3 linked regions of the Mus musculus genome follow. The protein of the gene in region 1 interacts with the protein of each later gene in a biochemical or structural test. Links are inferred from orthologs where the notes say so. Each region holds a gene or a part of one and is shown on either strand. Other genes may lie near its edges.

Region 1 (7,633 bases):
CTAGAGCCATACCTACCTGTTCCTATCTAACTACTTTCTTCTAGTGAGAAGACAGGGGCTGCTCAGTGGACAGAGTGCTTGCTTACGGTGCAGAAAGTGCTGAGTTCCACATCCTGGAACCACATTAACAGGAGATAAAGGCAGGAAGATCAGAAGTTTAGGGTCAACTTTGGCTACAGTGATGGTTTGTACATGGTTGGCCCAGGGAGTGGCACTGTTGGGAGGTGTGGCACTGTTGGGAGGTGTGGCCTTGTTGGAGTAGGTGTGGCCTTGTAAGTGTGGGCTTTAATACCCTTGTTCTTGCTGCCTGGGAGCCAGTATTCTGCTAGCAACCTTCAGATGAAGATGTAGAACTCTCAGCTCCTCCTGTACCATATCTGCCTGAACGCTGCCACGTTCCAGCCTTGACGATAATGGACCTGAACCTGTAAGCCAGCCCTAATTAAATGCTGTCCTTATAAGAGTTGCCTTGGTCATGGTGTCTATTCACAGCAGGAAAACTCTAATGAAGACAGCTAAATAGCAAGTTTGGATTTAGCCTGGGCTATAGGATACCATGTTTCAAAACAACAACAACACCATCACAACCTTGAATACTATTTATGTTTAGCAGGGCTCTCTGGTCTCAGAAACCCCAGAGGTGACCCATCTTCAGGAGATTAGGTCTTACCAAGTCATCTTCCAGCTTACATTTGGGGATCTCATTGTTCAAAAGGAACTTAAAAGATCTCAATTCCAACTCGCTCACTTCTTCTGAGAGCTTAAAGAGCATGACCCTGTGGCAGGAAACAGAGGCACTTTAGAAACACGTTCTAGATCATTTCCCACCACTACACAGTCACAGCAGGGCTCACTCCCAGGGCTTCCTTAAAATAGTCAACTATTCCTGACTGGTGGAAGTCTATAGAGTCAGGTCCAACCAACCCACCCATGCGAAGTGCCACCACCTTTGTAACCAACTAACTTCAACTAAAAGAATCTCCCTGCTCCTATGTCGATATAAAAATCAAGATCCAGATGCGAGGATTTGGGGGAATTATATTCTCCATGGTGCACAACAGAGCTGACTCCCTTCTAAGCATTGGTCCATGTTCTCTCAGCAATTTCCTTCAGGAGGAGGCTGAATATTTGGTTCTAGAATAAAAGGGACTCTGAACACACACACACACACACACACACACCTCTTTCCACTCTTACCAACACCCAAGGCTCTCAACACAGCCAGCTGCCGTGTGCTCTCCCCACCATACATTCCCTGTGTCTCCTTGCATGCATCCACTGCCCACCTGCAATCTCATTAGTTGCCAGGGAGTCCTCGGGGCTCTGTTCTCTCACTAAATCTTCATTCACCCCCCACCCCCGCCCCTGAAAGAACTCACATATGGCAACAGCCTGTTTATAAACTGCCAAGTCCCCTAACAGCCTGGCCCATGCCTTTTTCACTTTTCATTAACCTGAGATTTGTGAGGTGTAATGTTTGAGTGCAGGGGCCCCAGACTACAAACACATCTTGTAGGCAGGACAAAATTCTGTGGGTGGGCTGGCGTCTCTATCCCTCCACTGGAAGTCCTGCCTGGTTACAGAAGGTGGCCACTTCCAGGCTGGGCAAGATGTGTTTGTTCATGGTTAGGGTCTTGCTGCTTCCCACAGTGACAACCCTTCCCACCTGCTTGTGTATGCATATGGAACCCTTCTGTGTCTTTAAATGTGAGCCACCAAGATACATGTGTGTCACCGATGTGTGAATCTGCCTTCTTATTGATCCAGGCCTGCAGTCTCGGTTTTTAAGTTCCTGAGAATTCACCCTGCAGCGTGTGTAATGCAAAGTATTTCCAGCTTATTTCAGGAGGTGAGAAAACATCCCTGAAAGTGAGCACACCTCTAGACTTCTCCATTTTCCCTCCCCTTGCCCAGTCCAGGGGCAGGCTGGGTGGTCCTTTCCCTGATAGACAGAGACTCTCTTAGAAGTCATCATTACCCACAATCCTGTCTGTTACAATTTGTTACATCAGATATTACAATTTCTACATCAGAACATGTATAAATGTGGGACTACTTACAAAGTTACTCAGGTTACGTGGGGGAAAGGGCAACAATGCCTTGTTGTTTCTCCAGAGCCCAGTCCTTCTTGGCTGGTGGAAGCAGCTACCACATAGCCTGCTGGAATCCTGGTTTGTTCTCCTTAGTGTCCCCAGACTATTTTAAACCTCTGTCATCTTAACTTTCTTTAACAAGAAAGAAGAGGAAGAGCTAAAATACTTATTTGAAACTCTGCTTGCAGACAGGAGCCTCACATGACTGTCTTCGGAGACGCTTCATCCAGCAACTGACAGATTCAGAGACCCACAGCCAAACATCAGGCAGAGCTCGGGGAGTCTTGTGGAAGAGTGGGGGATAGGATTGAAAGAGCCTGAGGGGTCAAGGGGACCACTCGAAGACCTACAGAGTCAACTAACCTGCACCCATGGGGGCTCACAGAGGCTGAACAACCAATCAAAGAGCATATGGGGCTGGACCTAGCCCCCGCCCCCCCACATATGTAGCAGATGTGCAGCTTGGTCTTCATGTGGGTTCTCCAATAACTGGAGCAGGCACAGAGGTGAGGGAGGTGTCTGCCTATGACTCTGTTGCTTGCCTTTGGATTCCTTTCCTCTACCTGGGTTGCTTTGTCTGGCCTCAGTGAGAGAGGATGCACTTAGTCTCCTGCTGTGACTTACTGTGCCAGGGCAGGTGGTGGGGTGGGGGAGGGAGAAGGGCGGTGGGAGGGCAGGACTGGGAGGAGAAAAGGGAGGGGGCTTTGATCAGGATGTAAAATAAATAAAAATAAATAAATAGTGAAACAAGCAAACAAACAAAGTTCTGATGGCTCTTCCAAGCACACAGGTCCAATTCCCAACACCTACATGGCAGCTCACAACTGTCTATAACTCCATGTCCAGGTGATTTAATGCCCTCTTCTGGCCTCTGCAGGAAGCCTACATGCAAATGCTGTACAGACACATCGGTAAACAAAATACCTATGTCGTAAAATAAAAATTAAAAAAATCTTTAAAAAAATCTCACTATCAGCATACTAGAAGGTAATGTTTCACTTTGAAAAATGAAAAATTTAAATTATACATTGTGGTGGTTTGAATGAACAGGGTCCTTCCTAGGCGTATGTATTTGAACACTTGGTCCCAGGCTGTCTGGAGAGGTTATGGAGCTTTTAGAACGCAGAGCCTTGCAGCAGGAAGCACATCATGATCACCAGGCACAGACTTTGAGGGGTTTGACCTCACCCAGCTTTCGGGTCACACTTTCTGTTTCCCGTGTGCATGGCAGATGTGAACTCTCAGCTCCCTGCCCCTGCTGCCCTGCCTGCTAGTTACCATCTTATCTCCGGCATTAGCACTCTGGAACTGTAATCCAACATAAACTCTTCTATAAATTGCTTTTGGTCGTGGTATTTTTCCACAGCAACAGCAAAGTAACTACTCCACACAGAATCATATTCCCCTACACTGGTCTCTCTCTGACTCCTGTAGCCAAATCCCTTTTCCTCCTCATAAGTCCCTTTCTGTACCATGCTGTATGAAAGATACATTATTTTATGGCTTTAGCATGTTTCTCTGAATTATGTATTTAGCCCCTACATTTAGCCCGCAGTCTCACAAGTCACTTCACACATGTCACAGGGGCATGCCCCCTTCAGCCCACACTTCCCAGTCCCCCCACCACAGCCTTTCTACCCACCTGTAGGGAGAAATCTGGGCATTGTCTGGATCCCGCAGCTCTCTCACCATCTCCTCTCGGTTGCAGTCTAGGAAGTTGACCAGCAGGTCCCACCGACTGATGTGGAAAAGCAGCTCTTTCAGGAAAGACAGATTGCCTTCCTCCAACATCCCCTTTTCCCGCAGCCTCAGAAATAGCTTCTGGGCATCCTCGATGGTCTCCTGCTTCTTGTGTGGGATGTAGTCCAAGCACAGGAACTTGAGGGCAGCCAGGTCTTCACTGCCCAGTTCTTCAGCAATAGCATAAAGACAACTCTGGAAATCCATTCTTATCAAGAGGTAGAAGAGCTGTAACCTGGGTCAACACAAGATGCTAATGATCAAGTGAGGAAGTTAAGTGTCAGCTACCAGCTTGTTTCCTGTCAAAAACTAACTGCATCTACCATATTCCAGACACTTTAGAAGGAAAAAAAATGGAGAATAATAACAGGAAACAAAACAGGAAGTTCCTGATTCTCGGAAGCTTTTGTTTAGAGAGGTGAATATACAGAAAGCCACTGGTCAGATAGTCACCTCCTAGGTGCCTTAACAGTCTTGGGAATAGGGCAAGACACCTTTGGGGAGGAGGCAAGAAAAGCGGCTCTTAAAGGAAAAGTGCATACAAAATGCGGAGACAAATTGGACAGACACCAGAGTTCAGTAGAACAACCCCAAAGAGGCTAGACTAGATTGTTGATGACTCTGCAGGAAGATAGTAAGAGTCCTGGCTGGGAACACGGGCTCCTCCTAGATTGAAACCTGGCTGTATCACTGGCCACTCTGCCTCGGGAAGCTGCTTCCTCAGAGTATTTTACATGTCTTTGTGTGTTAAATGAAGGGTAGAAGTCTACCTTTCTCCTGAAGCTGTGAATCTGGGGTAACATCAAGTAACATTCAGCTACTAACAAACAAAGCCACACCAACTTCCAAGAAAGAGAAACCCCTGGTCATGGAGCTTGTCTCAGTTTGTTGCTATTGTTATGGTAAAAACATCATGACCAAAAGCAACCTGGAGAAGAAAAAGTTCATTTACTGTTATAGCTTTAGAGTCCATCACCCACGGGAAGTCAGGGCAGGAACCTGGAGACAGAAACGGATGCAGAGAATGGAGGAGCAATGCTTACTGCCTTGTTCCTCGTAACTCGCTCCACCTGCCTTCCTGTGGCACCCAAGACCATCAGTGGCACTGCCCACAGTGAGCAGGGCCTTCCACATCAATCGTGACCAAGAAAATACACCACAGACCTGCCTACTAGAGGCTTCGAAATTGCATAAAAATCACCATGTTAACAACAAAGGTTTAAAGAAAGAATTCTCTATCACTTGACAACAAGCCAAAGAAATTGTGAGGCAATGTCCTACTTGCTCATTACATAACCAAACTCCATTAACCTCCAGGAAGTACCCTAAAGGTACCCAAAGAAATGAAATTTGACAAATGGATGTGTTCCATTTTATAGAGTTTGGTAAACTAAGATATGTGCATCATACAATAGACACATATTCAGGATTTCAATGGACAACTGCTTTAGCTTCAGAAAAGGCAGATTCTGTAATTACACATTTGTTAGACGTTGTGGCCATGATGGGAATACTCATACAAATTAAAACAGAAAATGGTCCGACATATGTGTCTAATAAGATGAAAAAAGTTTTTAACATATTATTATATAAAACATGTTTCAAGCGTATCACATAATCCTACAGGACAAGCAATTGTGGAAAGATCTAATTGTACTCTAAAAGAGATGCTTATCAGACAAAAGGGGGTAACAAAGACTCTCAGAAATAGATTTCATAGTGTTTTATTAACCTTAAATTTTTAAAATGGTAATGAACAAAAAAATATAGCTGCTGAAAGACATTGGATTGTGGGGAAAACCCGCTGAGCTAGACCAGCCTGTTTACTTTAAAGATCTTCTAACTCTGGGGGAGAGGTTTTGCCTATATTTCCACAGGAAAAGAAAAGCTATGAGTTCCTTCCAAGTTGATAAAAATCAGACATGACAAGGGGAGAACCCCCTAAAGACCTTGGCTACAGACAAAAGGAGATTGACAAGATCAACAAGATAAGTGATGTATATGTGGTGATGTATATATGACTCTGTACACAGAGACAGCTCTGGGACCTGCTGAGATATAACTGTCTATATACAGCCAATAACACTTGTTGAGCACAAAATTTTCATAACTTTTTATTAGCTACCATCCTTTAAGATGGCAGGAATAGCTATTTATATTGTATTTTGATTATGTGATCAAACTAACCTCTGAAGAAAGGCAGTTGTCTTTCTTTATTGATCTTCCTTAATTAATCTGTGCACCCTGCACGTTCCACATGAATGTCTTTACAGAGCCCACGAGTTGCTTGTAAGGTTTGTATACTGAAGAATGAAAGAGGAGAGAGACAACCCTGACAAGATTCACACTCGGGGACGCTGAGATTCCAGGTCCTTCCATTCCAGCTCCTTGCTTGATTCTACCTCAACTACATCGGAGCTGTTTCCTCTAAAGACTTGCTTCCAGGACAGTTTCAGAACAGCTAATTCACTCATCTAGCCTTTCAGACTATTACAGTCAGGACTTCAGCTAAGCCATAAACTTTCTCAGCACATAGAGACCGAAAGGCAAATGATGCCAGCTAGTCTGCCTTTGACAAGACCAATTTTCCTATTCCCCTTTGGGCCCCCAGAAGGGAATTCCTCACCCCAATTTAGCTAGAAGCAAACAAAAGAAGATTGTTGTCCCAGTCCCTTAGGTTGGAGTGGATAGTTCTGGCTATTTTATAAGTTATAGATATATTGTCATCTTAGTGGATAACTTACAAGTGTGACTTTGGACAGGGAGGAAACTAGAGAGCCTAGACTCAGGGATTTCTACCTTTCGTTTCCTCTTCTCTATCCTTCCTTCTTAGGTAAAGAGAGGAAGATGGAAAGGGAAGGGGAAATATAGTCAAATGGACAGATAGAGATAGGATATTAAATTTACACTTAAACAAAGCATCAAATCACCATAATCTTACATTGGTAGAAACCTTTATATCTGATACAAAATTGAAGTTTTAATTCTTACATTGTTACACTATTTATATATATTGATACAGGTTTAAGGTTTTCATTGGTATAAATCTTTGTATATTAGTACAAAATTTAAAATTAATATTGTTACTCTTAGATAGGCATTATGCCTATGTAACTCATTTAAGAATACAAGGCTTAGATCCAGTCCTTTTAATAGCTGCTGTTACAAACTGTTTAGGATGATTAAGTGATGCAAGTCAGATACTGAAATTCATGGCTTTATTAGATTCTAATTTAGTTAATTACAAGTGTTTTCAAGATTATTTTAATAGTAAATAGCTAAGAGTAATGGATGTTTGACAATTCTGTTATGGTATATGTTTAGATAGTCTTCAAAAGCATCAGAGATTCACAGAATATGGCATTTAATATTATTTCATCATCAAAGATCATATGACTATGAGACAGATGTGTTCATGACAGTATCACATTCCACTTCAAGGAGGCTATTGAGCATCATTACCTCCAGGGGGAGTTGCTTTGATCGTGGCAAGGTAGCCATTGGGCAAGAAGTGCCCTAATTCATCTGCAGACAAAAATACTGTCCAAAAAAGGACAAACAGATGTGGGATAGTCAATTGTTAAGCTCTGTCAAAACAGGGTAAGCTAGTCCTTCAAAGTTCCTGCTTTACTTAGGTCTGTCAGATTGTTCTGGGCCAGAAGGCTAAAGACAGATCCAACATTATAAGAAATTAGGGCAGTCAGCTGTCTCTACAAATTGTATAATCTTGGAAGCTACGTCATTGTGCCTCCTACATATTCAGGTAATATTTAATTCTTTCTCAGACCTCTGATGGGATT
Region 2 (3,995 bases), on another chromosome or scaffold:
ACCAGGCTGGCCTCGAACTCAGAAATCCGCCTGCCTCTGCCTCCCGAGTGCTGGGATTAAAGGCGTGCGCCACCACGCCCGGCTTTTAAGTTGGTCTTAATCAGTCTCTCCTTCCTGCTTTTTTTTCCTTTCAATTTTTCTGTGTGTTTGTACCTGTGCATATGCATGAGTGTGTGGGCTTGAAGTGGTTATCTTCTCTAATCATTCTCTACTTTCTTTTTTTCCCAGTGGTCTCACTGAACCTAGAACTTACTGATTCAGCTAGACTGGCTAGGATCCTCCTTATCTTTGCCTCTACCACACTCTATTACAGAAGTGTGTTCCTATGTCCAGATTTTACATCAATGATAGAGATCAAACTCAGATTTTGAATTTATACTTGTTCAAGCAACCATTTTACTTACAGAGCCATTTCCGTAATCCTTTTCCTTTTCATACCAGGTCTCATTTAGCTCAAGCTAACCTCAAATTTGCTATGTAGCCAAGATAGGTCTTGAACTCCTAACCCTGCCTTCACCTCCTAAGTGGTGGAACAAAGTTAGTTGTCCTAGAGAGTATCCAAGACTCCAGTTCCACCAGCGTTTTGGTCACTGTATTTCCTGTGAACTAAATGTCAATGTGGGTTTTAGCAAGAATATTCCTTAGGTATTATTAACTATGGCAATTTTATAAATCCTAATTTAAATACGAATAGTGTTGATATACTACAAATGATTGAAACAATATCTAAATAACGTTTAGCAAATCCTGGTTTTTTGGGTTGTTTTTTGTTTTTCGAGACAGGGTTTCTCTGTGTAGCTCTGGCTGTCCTGGAACTCACTCTGTAGACCAGGCTGGCCTCAAACTCAGAAATCCACTACCTCTGCGTCCCAAGTGCTGGGACTAAAGGCGTACGCCACCACGCCCAGCCTGTTTTTTATTAAAAGGGACTATAGCTTCCATCCTTCATAGGCTGAGTAATGCTCATGAGCCTACTAAGCAATGCCAGTAGGAGTTAGCTAGGAGGTCAAAAGTCAGCAAATCGGCAACAATGTAAGCCAATGGTGCAAGTATTCAAGTTTCCACACAATTATCCCCTACAGCCCTGAGGCCCAAGGGTTGGCAAGAGAATATTACTCAAAAAAGTTGAAGTCAAATCTTCTTTTGCAAAAACCAGAAGACAGTGTGCACAGGAAAGCAAATGACGAGGTGACAAAGCCAGACAATGTTCAAGATTGGTGATAAGAAAAAAAAAATCATACTCCTGACACCCTTACTCAAGACAGGTTTTACTTGTTTCCATATAGCCTCAATTTCAGGGTCCACCAATTTTGCACACAGAAACTACAAGGTTCAGGGTTTGATAGCACCCTCATCATATGCTTGCTTTGTTGTTCCACTAGCCATACCTTTTTGGAGAAATGAAGGGAATGCAGAGAAGCAACACAGCAAAGACCTCTGCGTAGAGGAAGGTGGCAACTGTAGTCCACTGCAAACTCATCCTGTGACTTAAAGGGTTCCAACAGAGGGATGGGAGCTTGTTTCCTGGCAGGATACAGAAGAAACAGGAGGAACCATGAGAGCTGGAAAGTCACTGACAGGGACTGCTCAGGGACCCTGGAGAGGCTGGGGCTGCTATTCTTCACAACAGACCACAGGATTCTGCTTCAGAGCTTTTGAAACCCTGGTTGAAACAGGGTTTAACCCAACAGCAGACACTTGACCAATGATTCTAGCCAGCCAACAAACTTCCCTTGCCTGGGACAGTTACTTGTGCCCCTCCAGCAAGTATGTTACTATGACTAGGTACTTTTGTTCATGATTCCTTTCCCCGGGGCCGTCCAAGAGACTCTTAAGCCTGTTTAACTAAGAAAATGTTTCTCATAAGAATAGGAGAACCTTCTCAGCACCCATCAGGCTCCCTTGTAAGGCTAGACCTGTTTAAGAAAATGTTTCTCAAAAGAACAGTACGTAAACAGAAGGACCTCAGCACCCATTAGGCTTCCTTCCAAGAGTAGAAGCCTCTGCTGCCAGGAGCTATACATGTCTTCCAGTCGCTTCTACAGTGGGACTGGGACTGCAGTGTTCATACATGTATTTTCTGCAAACGCCACCACCTAAGCCTCTGCACAAGAAAGCAGGCCCATTTCCTCCAGAGCTTATGAGGGGCTGATAACCCTAGTAGCCTCCAGCCTCCTTCTAAAGCTGCTTTTGAAAACTAGATAGGCCTTCCGAATGCTCGCACGAATGCACAGGGTGTAGGCCTCCATTTACTCTCAAAAGGCCCACAAGAGCGACTCCTAGAGGGCGGGAATCCAGGCCAAAAGCAAATACAGGTCTCCACAGAGCACGTCCAGGCCTTACCCAGAGAAAGTTCCAGAACCAGAAAGTCTCTCCCGAAGCCAAAAAAGGGACCTCCCTGCATCCCTAGCAAGCCACAACGCCCAAGTCCACAGCGCCAGGTGGCTTTCGAGGAGCTGGGCCTACCTGGGCAGCTCTTCTGGGGGGGGGTGGGGAGGACTGGCCCCTGTCCTCGCGTCCCCTAGAGTCCCGCTCCACCTACCTCCACAACATCCCTATGCCTGATCCTGCCCTAAACTCCGAAGTCGGCCCGGATCCCTACACTTCCCAGAACCCACAGTATTTCTGGGATGCTCGCCTTCCTCCCTCATGAAGGGACTGGGGGGGAACCTCGTTGGTCCGAAAGTCAGCCATGCATGCGGACCCAGCTTACCGAGCTTCAGCCTACTCGCACGCCCCACCGCAACTACCAAACTCTCACCAATGCTCAGGCCCGCCCCCTAGCCCGCGGGCGGAAACCGGAAACGCGCGTCAGGCCCCGCCTACAAGTCCTCTAGAGGCCCCTAACGGCTCCGCCCATTGTCGTTTCCCGCCCCGCCCTTAGGCGCGGCCTGTTGCCAAGGTCTAGAAAGGAAGTAGAGGCTGACGGTTGAAGGCCCCCTGCCGCGCCTCTGACACTTCGGACACGCAGGGGTGGAGCTTGGAGGCGCCTTGGCGGGAGGGCTGGGGCCGCTTCTGTAGTGTACGCGGACTTGCTTCGTTTCTGTTGTCGGAGAGGGGGAGGGGTCCAACGGTAGGGCGAGAACGGGGTGGGGCACCCCTAACTCGGACTCCGCCTCTTGCCTCAACTCCGCCTCCTCTTCCCCATCACCACCCCTGGGGAGGGGTAGGTGGGTGGGGATTCTGGGCCTTGGCGTAGACGCTGTCGTTACTGCCGGGCTGCTCAGCGGACAAACACGCCTGGTGCCCCGGGGAGGGGCGTCACGGGGGGTGGGGGGGGAGGAGCAGTAAGAGGAGGGAGGTGGAAGGAAAGACACAGCCTCTCTCCTTAAGACCTCTCGAGGCTCTGACCTCAGGGGCTAAGGGGACAGTCTGTAGAGGGAAGCCAGTTCCTCCACCCGGGCTGCCTGAAGAGGCCACGACCCTGGAGGATTCTAACCCAACCGATCCAGGGGCCCCAGCACCACCGCGAGGGCCTAAAGCAACAGTCTCAGGGATCACTTCAAGGTTTCCAGTTGCCTAGACAACGAGCCCTGGGTCAGAGCAACAACCCTTCCAGGATCTGTCTGCAACTGTAGCCTCAGGCAGCAGTTCCAGCCCTCAGCCTGCTCACCAGTCCAGGTGACATGCCGGTGCTCTCCACTCCCCGGCCCTCACGGGTGACCACGCTGAAGCGCACAGCTGTGGTCCTGGCCCTCACAGCCTATGGAGTCCACAAAATCTACCCTCTAGTACGGCAGTGTCTGACTCCTGCCAGAGGTCCTCAGGTGCCAGCTGGGGAGCCCACTCAAGAGGCCTCTGGAGCCACCGCAACCAAGGCTGGCATGAACCGGGTATTCCTGCAGCGGCTCTTGGCGCTCCTGAGGCTGCTGTTCCCCCGAGTCTTGTGCCGGGAAACAGGGCTGCTGGCCCTGCATTCTGCTGCCCTGGTAAGCCGAACTTTCCTGTCTGTGTATGTTGCCCGCCTGGACGGCAGACTGGCCCGCTGCATTGTA
Region 3 (7,990 bases), about 110 Mb from region 1:
CTTGAGCCTCTGAGTTTCTCCTAGATAGAAAATCTGAGGATACTGCCTGTGTCATTCACAGGCCCAGAACCATGTCCTCATCAACTTCCTGGGAGCTGCCCCTGGTGGCTGTGTGCCAGGTAACATCAACACCAAACAAGCAAGAGAACTTTAAAACATGTGCTGAGTTGGTTCAAGAGGCTGCCAGACTGGGTGCTTGCCTGGCCTTTCTGCCTGAGGCATTTGACTTTATTGCACGAAACCCTGCCGAGACATTACTCCTGTCCGAACCACTGAATGGGGATCTTTTGGGCCAATATAGCCAGCTTGCCAGGTACAAGGGTAGGGTTTGGGGGGGGGGGGGTTGTGTGTGTAGAACTCCCTGTTGAGCAGTGTTCCTGGATTGCCACAGAGGGGGTAGAGTTGTGTGTGTCGTGTCCCCCCCCCCCCCCAGGGAATGTGGAATCTGGCTGTCCTTGGGCGGTTTCCACGAGCGTGGCCAAGACTGGGAGCAGAATCAGAAAATCTACAATTGTCATGTGCTTTTGAACAGCAAGGGTGAGACGTCATAGCCCTTAGTTTGCCTCTTCCCAGGCTTCTCTACCTTTCCTCAACTCAGATCTTCAGCATTTCTTTCTCAACTGCTTGGCCTTGGGGTTTTATGCTTCTGTTCTCAGCCTACAAGTTACTCTTTGGGAGAAGAGCTAAGCTGGACTTGTAGAGTGTCTGTACTGAGTATTTTCTCTCTCTCTCTCTCTCTCTCTCTCTCTCTCTCTCTCTCTCTCTCTCTCTAGGATCAGTAGTGGCCAGTTACAGGAAGACACATCTGTGCGATGTAGAGATCCCAGGTCAGGGGCCGATGAGAGAAAGCAACTATACCAAGCCTGGAGGCACTCTTGAGCCACCTGTCAAGACACCGGCTGGCAAGGTGGGAGTTTGGAAAGGAAATGGGACTATGTTGAAAAGTGGTAACACCCCCCATTGGTGCAGGCTAATGAAGGCACTCAGTGTTCTGTTGAATGGGACAGGGAAGATGAGTGGGTTGTTTCTCATTTCAGGTTGGTCTAGCAATCTGTTATGACATGCGGTTCCCTGAACTTTCTTTGAAATTGGCTCAAGCTGGGGCAGAAATACTTACTTATCCTTCAGCCTTTGGATCTGTTACAGGTCCAGCCCACTGGGAGGTAAGAGAATGCCTCTTCATAACATATAGGCCTCCTTTAACCTTACTTTTAGTAGTGGGAGCAGAGTGGTACAAACCTAAATCCAAGCACTTCAGTGGATAGCCACAGGTTCAAAGCCAGCATGCCTTGACTAAAAAAGAAAACAAAATAGAAGCTGGGCAGTGGGGGTGCACACCTTTAATCCCAGCACTCAGGAGGCAGAAGCAGGTGGATCTCTGAGTTTGAGGCCAGCCTGGTCTACAGAGTGGGTTCCAGGACAGCCAGGGCTACACAGAGAAACCCTGTCTCAAAAACAAAAAAGCAACCCACACCTTCAAAGAGTGGGGCATGGTGGTGCATGCTCTTCATCTCAGCACTGTGAGGCAAAGGCAGGCAGATCTCTGTGGGTCTAAGCCAGCCAGGGTTACACAGGGAGACCTTATCTCAAAAGTACAAAACACAAACACTCCTCCTTTCTACTTGATTTTCTTCCTTTTCATCTGGTGAGGAAATTCATTTCTTAGCTAGGTGTGAGTCATGTTAAAGAGTTAGTTATTAACTCTAGTTGGTTAGTGAGAAGATTGGGCCCACAGTGCCCGCTTCTTGTCACTTGCCTATTAAACGCTGTATGTTCTGGAGTCAACGCACGTCTCATCCTCAGGTGCTGCTGCGGGCCCGCGCCATTGAATCTCAGTGCTATGTAATAGCAGCAGCGCAGTGTGGACGCCACCATGAAACAAGAGCAAGTTATGGCCATAGCATGGTGGTTGACCCGTGGGGCACAGTGGTGGCCCGCTGCTCCGAGGGACCAGGCCTCTGCCTTGCTCGAATTGATCTCCACTTTCTACAACAGATGCGCCAACACCTGCCTGTGTTCCAGCACCGCAGACCTGACCTCTATGGCAGTCTGGGTCATCCACTCTCTTAATGCTTTTAACTTCTGTTGGTTAAGACACAGACACAGCCAACTGGGAGGTGATGCTACTGTGACTTGTAGGCAGGACACAAGCACGGTTCCCTTCACTTGCAGAACTTTAACCTCTCTTAATGGAACACAGGCTTAATCAAGTCCATGGGAAAGAAGAGACTTTGACCTGACCTCAGATTTCAGTTTCAGAAAAGTGGGATTTTATATAGTCACTGTTTATTTCATGAAAACTGAAGTTATGCTGAGGGCTGAGCAGCACTGGCATTGAAAAAAAAATATAATAATCATAATGTCTGGACATGTCTTTTGGGGGCTAGAAGGGGAGGTGGAATTGTACCTGCTTGACTGGACTTCACTCCTCAGCCTCCTGCCTCAAACATGCCTCCTTACCTAAGAAAGTGCGGTGCTCAGTGCATGTACTAGTCCTGCTCTCCAAAGGATGGGAGAAGGGAGGGCAGAGGAACAGGAGGAGCTGATACTAAATACCCCACTTTCTCTCAAGCAAGAAGGAAGCAAAGGGAAAGGGCCTTGGGGTGGGGTAAGAGTTATTTTCACTGGAAAAGGGAAGGAAAATGTCATACCCCCCACCCCCTCCTCCTCTTCAGAGAAAGTGTGCTCCAACTAGCAGCCTCTACTCCACTGTCCTGTGTACTGGTGTTCACATACACATCGCAGTTGGGAGGGTGATCGATCAGGCTGGCCCAGTCCTCTGTAAGTTTGCTGAACATTTGACAGGGACAAGGAGGGATCCATACGACAGCAGTTCCCGCTGTGGAATGAAGGAAAGGCAGAGAGGAGCAGCACCAAGGCCAGGAGAGACTGCAAAGGGCCACAGCTTCTCTGTTTTTAAAAAATTCTATAATTTGGAAGAAGGTGGTAATTAATTTCCAAAATACACTTCAGAGTCCCACCTTCCACATAGCTCCTTTACTCACAGCCCTTTGGTTTTTCAGACAAAATTTAAGAGCCCTCATAAAGCCATAAGTATTGATTACCCCTCAATGCACCTGAAAGCAGTGTTCAATCCCTTACAAAGGCTGTGTTCCAGAGACCCTGTCCCTATACACTTGTCTTACGGCTCAGTGGTAAGGTGGCTGTAGACACACAATAGGGTAAGTGGCAACAGGAAACGGGGAAGCCCAGGCACATGGGTGCAGGGAGGGCAGGGACACCACTTCCACCTTCCTTTGTCTTTTCCTTTTAAAAAAAAAAAAAAAAAAAGGCGGTGTGATTGGTTGGAAAGGGTAGAGAACAAACCCCAGAACAGTATGTCAGCTCCAGAGGTGACGGAGCGAACAGTCCCCAGAAAGGTGAGAAGGGGAAAGGTCAGGGTAATGCCTGCAGCATCAAGTTCCTCAGGAGTTTCTGTCGGCCCAGCTCATAGTCCTCCTCATCCACGTTCACCAGCAGCTTGATGGCTTCATGGCCCACAGCTTGCTTGAGAGAGTCTGTGATGAAGACACCTTTCAGTGCCTCTAATAATGAGCCATTAATGTAGTCTCGCCAGAATGCGTCGAGGTAGGTGAGCTCAGAGAACTTGATGTCACAGATGATGGAGCCCAGGTCCCGGGACTTGAGGATAGTGTTGGCCTGGTTAAAGCGCTCAAACTGGCGCTCAAGTGGGTCCTGCTTATTGGAGAAGACATTGCCTTGCAGAGCCGTCTCATGCTGGCAGTATTCCGCCCGAACTCGGAGCCTGATATCTGGGAGAATTTTAAGGAGCATGGTTTATAATGGATTGTGTTTACAACCAAAGCTAGAAAAGCAAGCAAGCAAGGCTGAGACCCTCCCTCTTCTCACAGCTTCTTTACCTCTCCCCAGAACTAGTTCTTCACTGTGTCACTGGTTTCAATTCTGGAGCTGCCCTACAATGCCCTACAATGACTCTGCTCAGGCCACTCACAAACAGCACCTTGTTAGAAGACCTGTCTTATTAAAAAGTTGCACAAATTTACTTTAATTCTGTCTTGACTTGGTTCATCCTATATAAGAATGACGTTGGCATTTCTTTAATAGTAACTAAAAAGATTTGTAATATACCATTGCTGAAAAGAACAGTTCTCATGAAAACTAAACCTGACCTGAAAACAGCAAAGATTGCCTTGCACTGAACTACAGACTGCCCATCATCCCAGGAGTTCTTTATATTTTCCCTCAAGTCTACAACGTTAAAGTCCCTGAATTTCCTTACCACATGTCTGCTTTTCCTTCGGGTCTGGTGTCACCGACTTCCGGCGTTTTCGCTGGCTCCCAAGTGTGGTTCTCCCTCGGGCTGGCCGCTTACTACACATTTGAGAACCCGAAGTGGGGCAGCACACCACAGGATAGTGGGGAGGCACTGAGCAGAAAGTAGGTGGGAAAACACGGTTTGACAAGTAGAACTTCAAATCTTTCATTTGGAATAGACAAAGGAACCATCTAGACTTGAGAATAAAAGTATTGGTGATATAACCTGAAGGCTGAGGGGTATAGCCCAATAATCAATGTCTGTCAAACATTCATGAATATCTGGACTCAGCCCTAGCAATGGGGTGGCAGGTGGCATGCACTAAGTATGGTGGAAGAAATCTATCATCTGAGCACTTAAGGGTGAAGAAAGGAAGCCAGGTGGTGGTGCACACCTTTAATTCCAACACTTGGGAGGCAGAGGCAGAGGTAATGGAATCTCTTGAGTTCAAGGCCAGTATGATCTACAGAGTAAGTTCTAGGACAGCCAAGGCTTCACAAAGAAACCCTGTCTCAAAAAACAAGACAAAAACAAAAACAGAGAAACAAAAAAGGCTAAGGAAGGAAGGCCATCTTGGCCTACACAGGGTTCTGCATTTACCCAAGCTAAATAGGAAGTCCCAAAAATAAAAGTTGGGGCTGCAGAGATGGCTCAGTGGTTAGGAGGACGTGTAGTTCTTGCAGAGGACCCAGATTCACCTCCACAGGCACCAGGTACACACAAGGCACACAAGCAAATATGCAGGCAAACATTCATACAGAAAAAATTTTTTAAAAACTGACCTAAGGTCTGGAGTGATGGCTTAACCTACATGCAGACAGTATACTTTTACACATAAATTGATTTTTAAAAAGTAACCTAAAAGGAGAATAAACACTAGACCTAGACAAAGTATACTTCACCTGCTTTATGTGTGTACATGTTCACATAGATGTGTTCCTATGTGAGTGTGCCTCATGTAAAGGTCAGAGGTCAGCATTAGGTGTCTTCCTCAATCCTCTCACCATCTTTCTTTAGACCAGGGCTTTCATTGAGCCTTGAGTTCAGCAGTGTGCCAAGGCTGGCTGCCTCTATGAGCCCCAGGGATCCACCTGTCTCTGCCTCCAACCCTGAGATTGCAGACACTTTATTACCCAGCTTTTTCTGTGTGGGTGCTGGGAACCTGAACACAGGTCTTCATGAGTATGCAGCTGGCACTTGACCGAGTGAGCCATTTCCCCAGCTCCTGATTGTCTTTAATGGACAGGGACTTTAATGTCTTTAATGGGGTGGATGGAGAGGGACTGTATCCCGTCACTGATGTTGGCGCAGCCACACATGTGATGGGAACAATGTTCTCCTGCTTATGAAAATTACAAGTAGTATCCTCTCACCTGTTTTAGAGGGCTGGGGAGGCCTCGGTTCTGGGTCACTGAGGGCTCTGGGGGTCACATAGCGAATTGATGTTTCCTCCAGATACTTGTCTACAAGATCAGGGCACACTGCAGGAGGAGAAGGAGTCACTCAAGAAAAAGTACATATCTTTCTTCTCCCAAAGGATCTCTGTTCTCCTAGGTATTCCCCAGGTCAAGACCGCCCCGCCCTGTAGACTCTGCACTACTCACTCCTGGCCTCCCACAGAGCTTCTCTTAGTCGTGTGTCCCCAGACCCCATAAGGCCTCACCAGCTCGTCTCTTCTTGAGAGTAACGTAGGGCAGCAAGTCATGGCGAGTGATGATGCGCAGCAGCTGCAGCACCTGGCGAAAGTTACTCTCGTCACAGCGGCCCTGGCGCTCCAGTGCCAATAAGAAGTCACGTCCATTTCGGATGAGTCCACGTTCATGGTCATCAATAACATCAACAAAAAGGAAGGAAAGCACTCGGACATCTCTGTGTGTTAGGTGGGTGCCCACGATGTCGAACATGCGGTGGAGGCTGTAGAGCCCATGTTCTTGCTCCCCACGCTCTTCGGGCCACACCTGGCTTGCCCGCCTCTTTAGGCCCGCCATGCTAGAGGCTCAGAAATAGAGTGCTTTCCAGAATCTCTGCTCAGCAGCTGCAATCTCCAGTGATCTGTAAGATAAGACAAGACCCCATGAGCCATGGGGCCACTGGTAGCCACCAATTTTATTTATCTTTATTATCTTAACGTGCTACTAATGAAGCTCAGCTTAATATGTTTATTAAATATCATAAAGTGTTTATGCTAGGTGTGGTGGCATACGCCTTTCATCTCAGCACTCAGGAGGCAGGGGCAAGTAGATCAGAGTGGCAGAACACTCAGGGCTACAGAGACCCTGTCTCAAAAAAGCAAAAACCAACAACAACAAAAAAGCAAAACAAAACAATGCTAAATGCTTTTCATACTCAACAGACGATGCCCTGAGTCAAGATCCTACAAGGGATACAGTCAGATCCTGGAGTGAGAATGCTTTGTGATTTTAGTACTGCATAGGTCAGACGTTTCTGTTGCAGCTAGGTATGAGAGTATACACCTATAATTACAGCACTCAGGAGCCAGAGGCAGGAGAATTACCCTTAAGTTTGAAGCCATTCTGATCTGCACAGCAAGTTTCGTCCTGTCAGAGATATAAGGTAGACCCTATCTCAAAAGCAAAATAAGCTAGTCTGGTAAAGCTGCCTAAAGCCCCAGCACTTGAGAGGTAAACACAAGGAGGCTCACGAGTTTAAGGCTATCCTCAGCTACAGGGCAAGATCAAAGCCAGCCTGGGCTATATGAAACTGTCTCAAAGTTAGTTGGTTGGTTGGCTGGTTTTTAAATGTTATCCAAATGTTCCTCTTGTCTCCAAAACACTGCTTTTAGTCCCCTGAAACACCGATTTGCTGGGCATGGAGGTACATGCCTGTAGCTAGCATTCAGGAGATTAAGGTTAGGAGGATCGGATTCCAGGAAAACCTGGTCTGTATTCTCAAGTCTTACAGAAACAACAACAAAATATACATAGTAACAGAACAATATCTAAGTGTAGCAGTGTACCCCTTTGAACCTAGAATTCAGGAGGATCTCTGTGAATGGGAAACCAATCTAGTGTTCCACAGAGTTTTAGGCCAGCCAGGGTTAAATAACATAACCCTGTCTCAAAGGGGTTAGAGGTGTTAATGGTTAAGAGCACCAGCCGTTCCTCCAGAAGACCTAAGTTCAATTCCCAGCACCCACAGGGATAGGCTCCATCCACCTGTAACTCCAGCTCTGGCCTGAGACCTCAAGAGGCACCTTCAGTCACACAAATAACTAAATAAAAATTAAATTTCTGGTTTTTAGAATGGTGGTATACAGCTTTAATCCCAGTAAATAGAGGAAGGTAGATCTCTATGAGGTTCCAGGCTAGCCAAAACTACACAGTGAGACCTTGTCTCAAACCATTTTAAATCTTTTTTTAAAAAAACTAACAAAAGAGGGGCTGAGTTCAATTCCCAACAATCACATGGTGGCTGAAAAACCATCTGTAATGGGATCCAATGCCCCCTTCTGCCTTTAGACATTACGTAAAAAATAAATATAAAAAAAAAAAAAGAAATTACTTTTCCCCACTCCTAAGCAATTCGTTTATTTCCGTTTTCTTTTTCTATTTATTTTTTATTTTATTTTATTAATTTATTTTATTTTATTTTATTTTTGGTTTTTCGAGACAGGGTTTCTCTATATAGCCCTGGCTGTCCTGAAACTCACTTTGTAGACCAGGCTGGCCTTGA

What was found.
Region 2: of the proteins of Casp8 (region 1) and Bcap31, one has a biochemical effect on the other in vitro, tested with the Homo sapiens proteins (2 studies listed by BioGRID, with this or other methods). The link is inferred for Mus musculus from reciprocal best matches to the Homo sapiens genes CASP8 and BCAP31.
Region 3: the proteins of Casp8 (region 1) and Dedd form a complex in vitro, tested with the Homo sapiens proteins (2 studies listed by BioGRID). The link is inferred for Mus musculus from reciprocal best matches to the Homo sapiens genes CASP8 and DEDD.

The regions. Positions count from the first base shown.
Region 1 is NC_000067.6:58,820,350-58,827,982, reverse strand, and holds part of Casp8 (caspase-8), read right to left. Parts: intron 4,069-7,633; coding exon of another isoform or gene 4,041-4,068; coding exon 3,736-4,040; intron 777-3,735; coding exon 671-776; intron 1-670. UniProt on the Homo sapiens protein: Thiol protease that plays a key role in programmed cell death by acting as a molecular switch for apoptosis, necroptosis and pyroptosis, and is required to prevent tissue damage during embryonic development and adulthood.
Region 2 is NC_000086.7:73,713,405-73,717,399, forward strand, and holds the start of Bcap31 (B-cell receptor-associated protein 31), read right to left. Parts: upstream 2,801-3,995; 5' UTR 2,714-2,800; intron 1,525-2,713; 5' UTR 1,481-1,524; coding exon 1,389-1,480; intron 1-1,388. Other genes in the region: Abcd1 (ATP-binding cassette sub-family D member 1), read left to right, coding at 3,627-3,995. UniProt on the Homo sapiens protein: Functions as a chaperone protein. Is one of the most abundant endoplasmic reticulum (ER) proteins.
Region 3 is NC_000067.6:171,336,611-171,344,600, reverse strand, and holds the end of Dedd (death effector domain-containing protein), read right to left. Parts: intron 6,350-7,990; 5' UTR 6,286-6,349; coding exon 5,961-6,285; intron 5,779-5,960; coding exon 5,671-5,778; intron 4,409-5,670; coding exon 4,262-4,408; intron 4,031-4,261; exon of another isoform or gene 3,774-4,030; coding exon 3,397-3,773; 3' UTR 2,100-3,396; downstream 1-2,099. Other genes in the region: Nit1 (deaminated glutathione amidase), read left to right, coding at 62-313, 434-537, 774-907, 1,038-1,163, 1,804-2,070. UniProt on the Homo sapiens protein: A scaffold protein that directs CASP3 to certain substrates and facilitates their ordered degradation during apoptosis. May also play a role in mediating CASP3 cleavage of KRT18. Regulates degradation of intermediate filaments during apoptosis.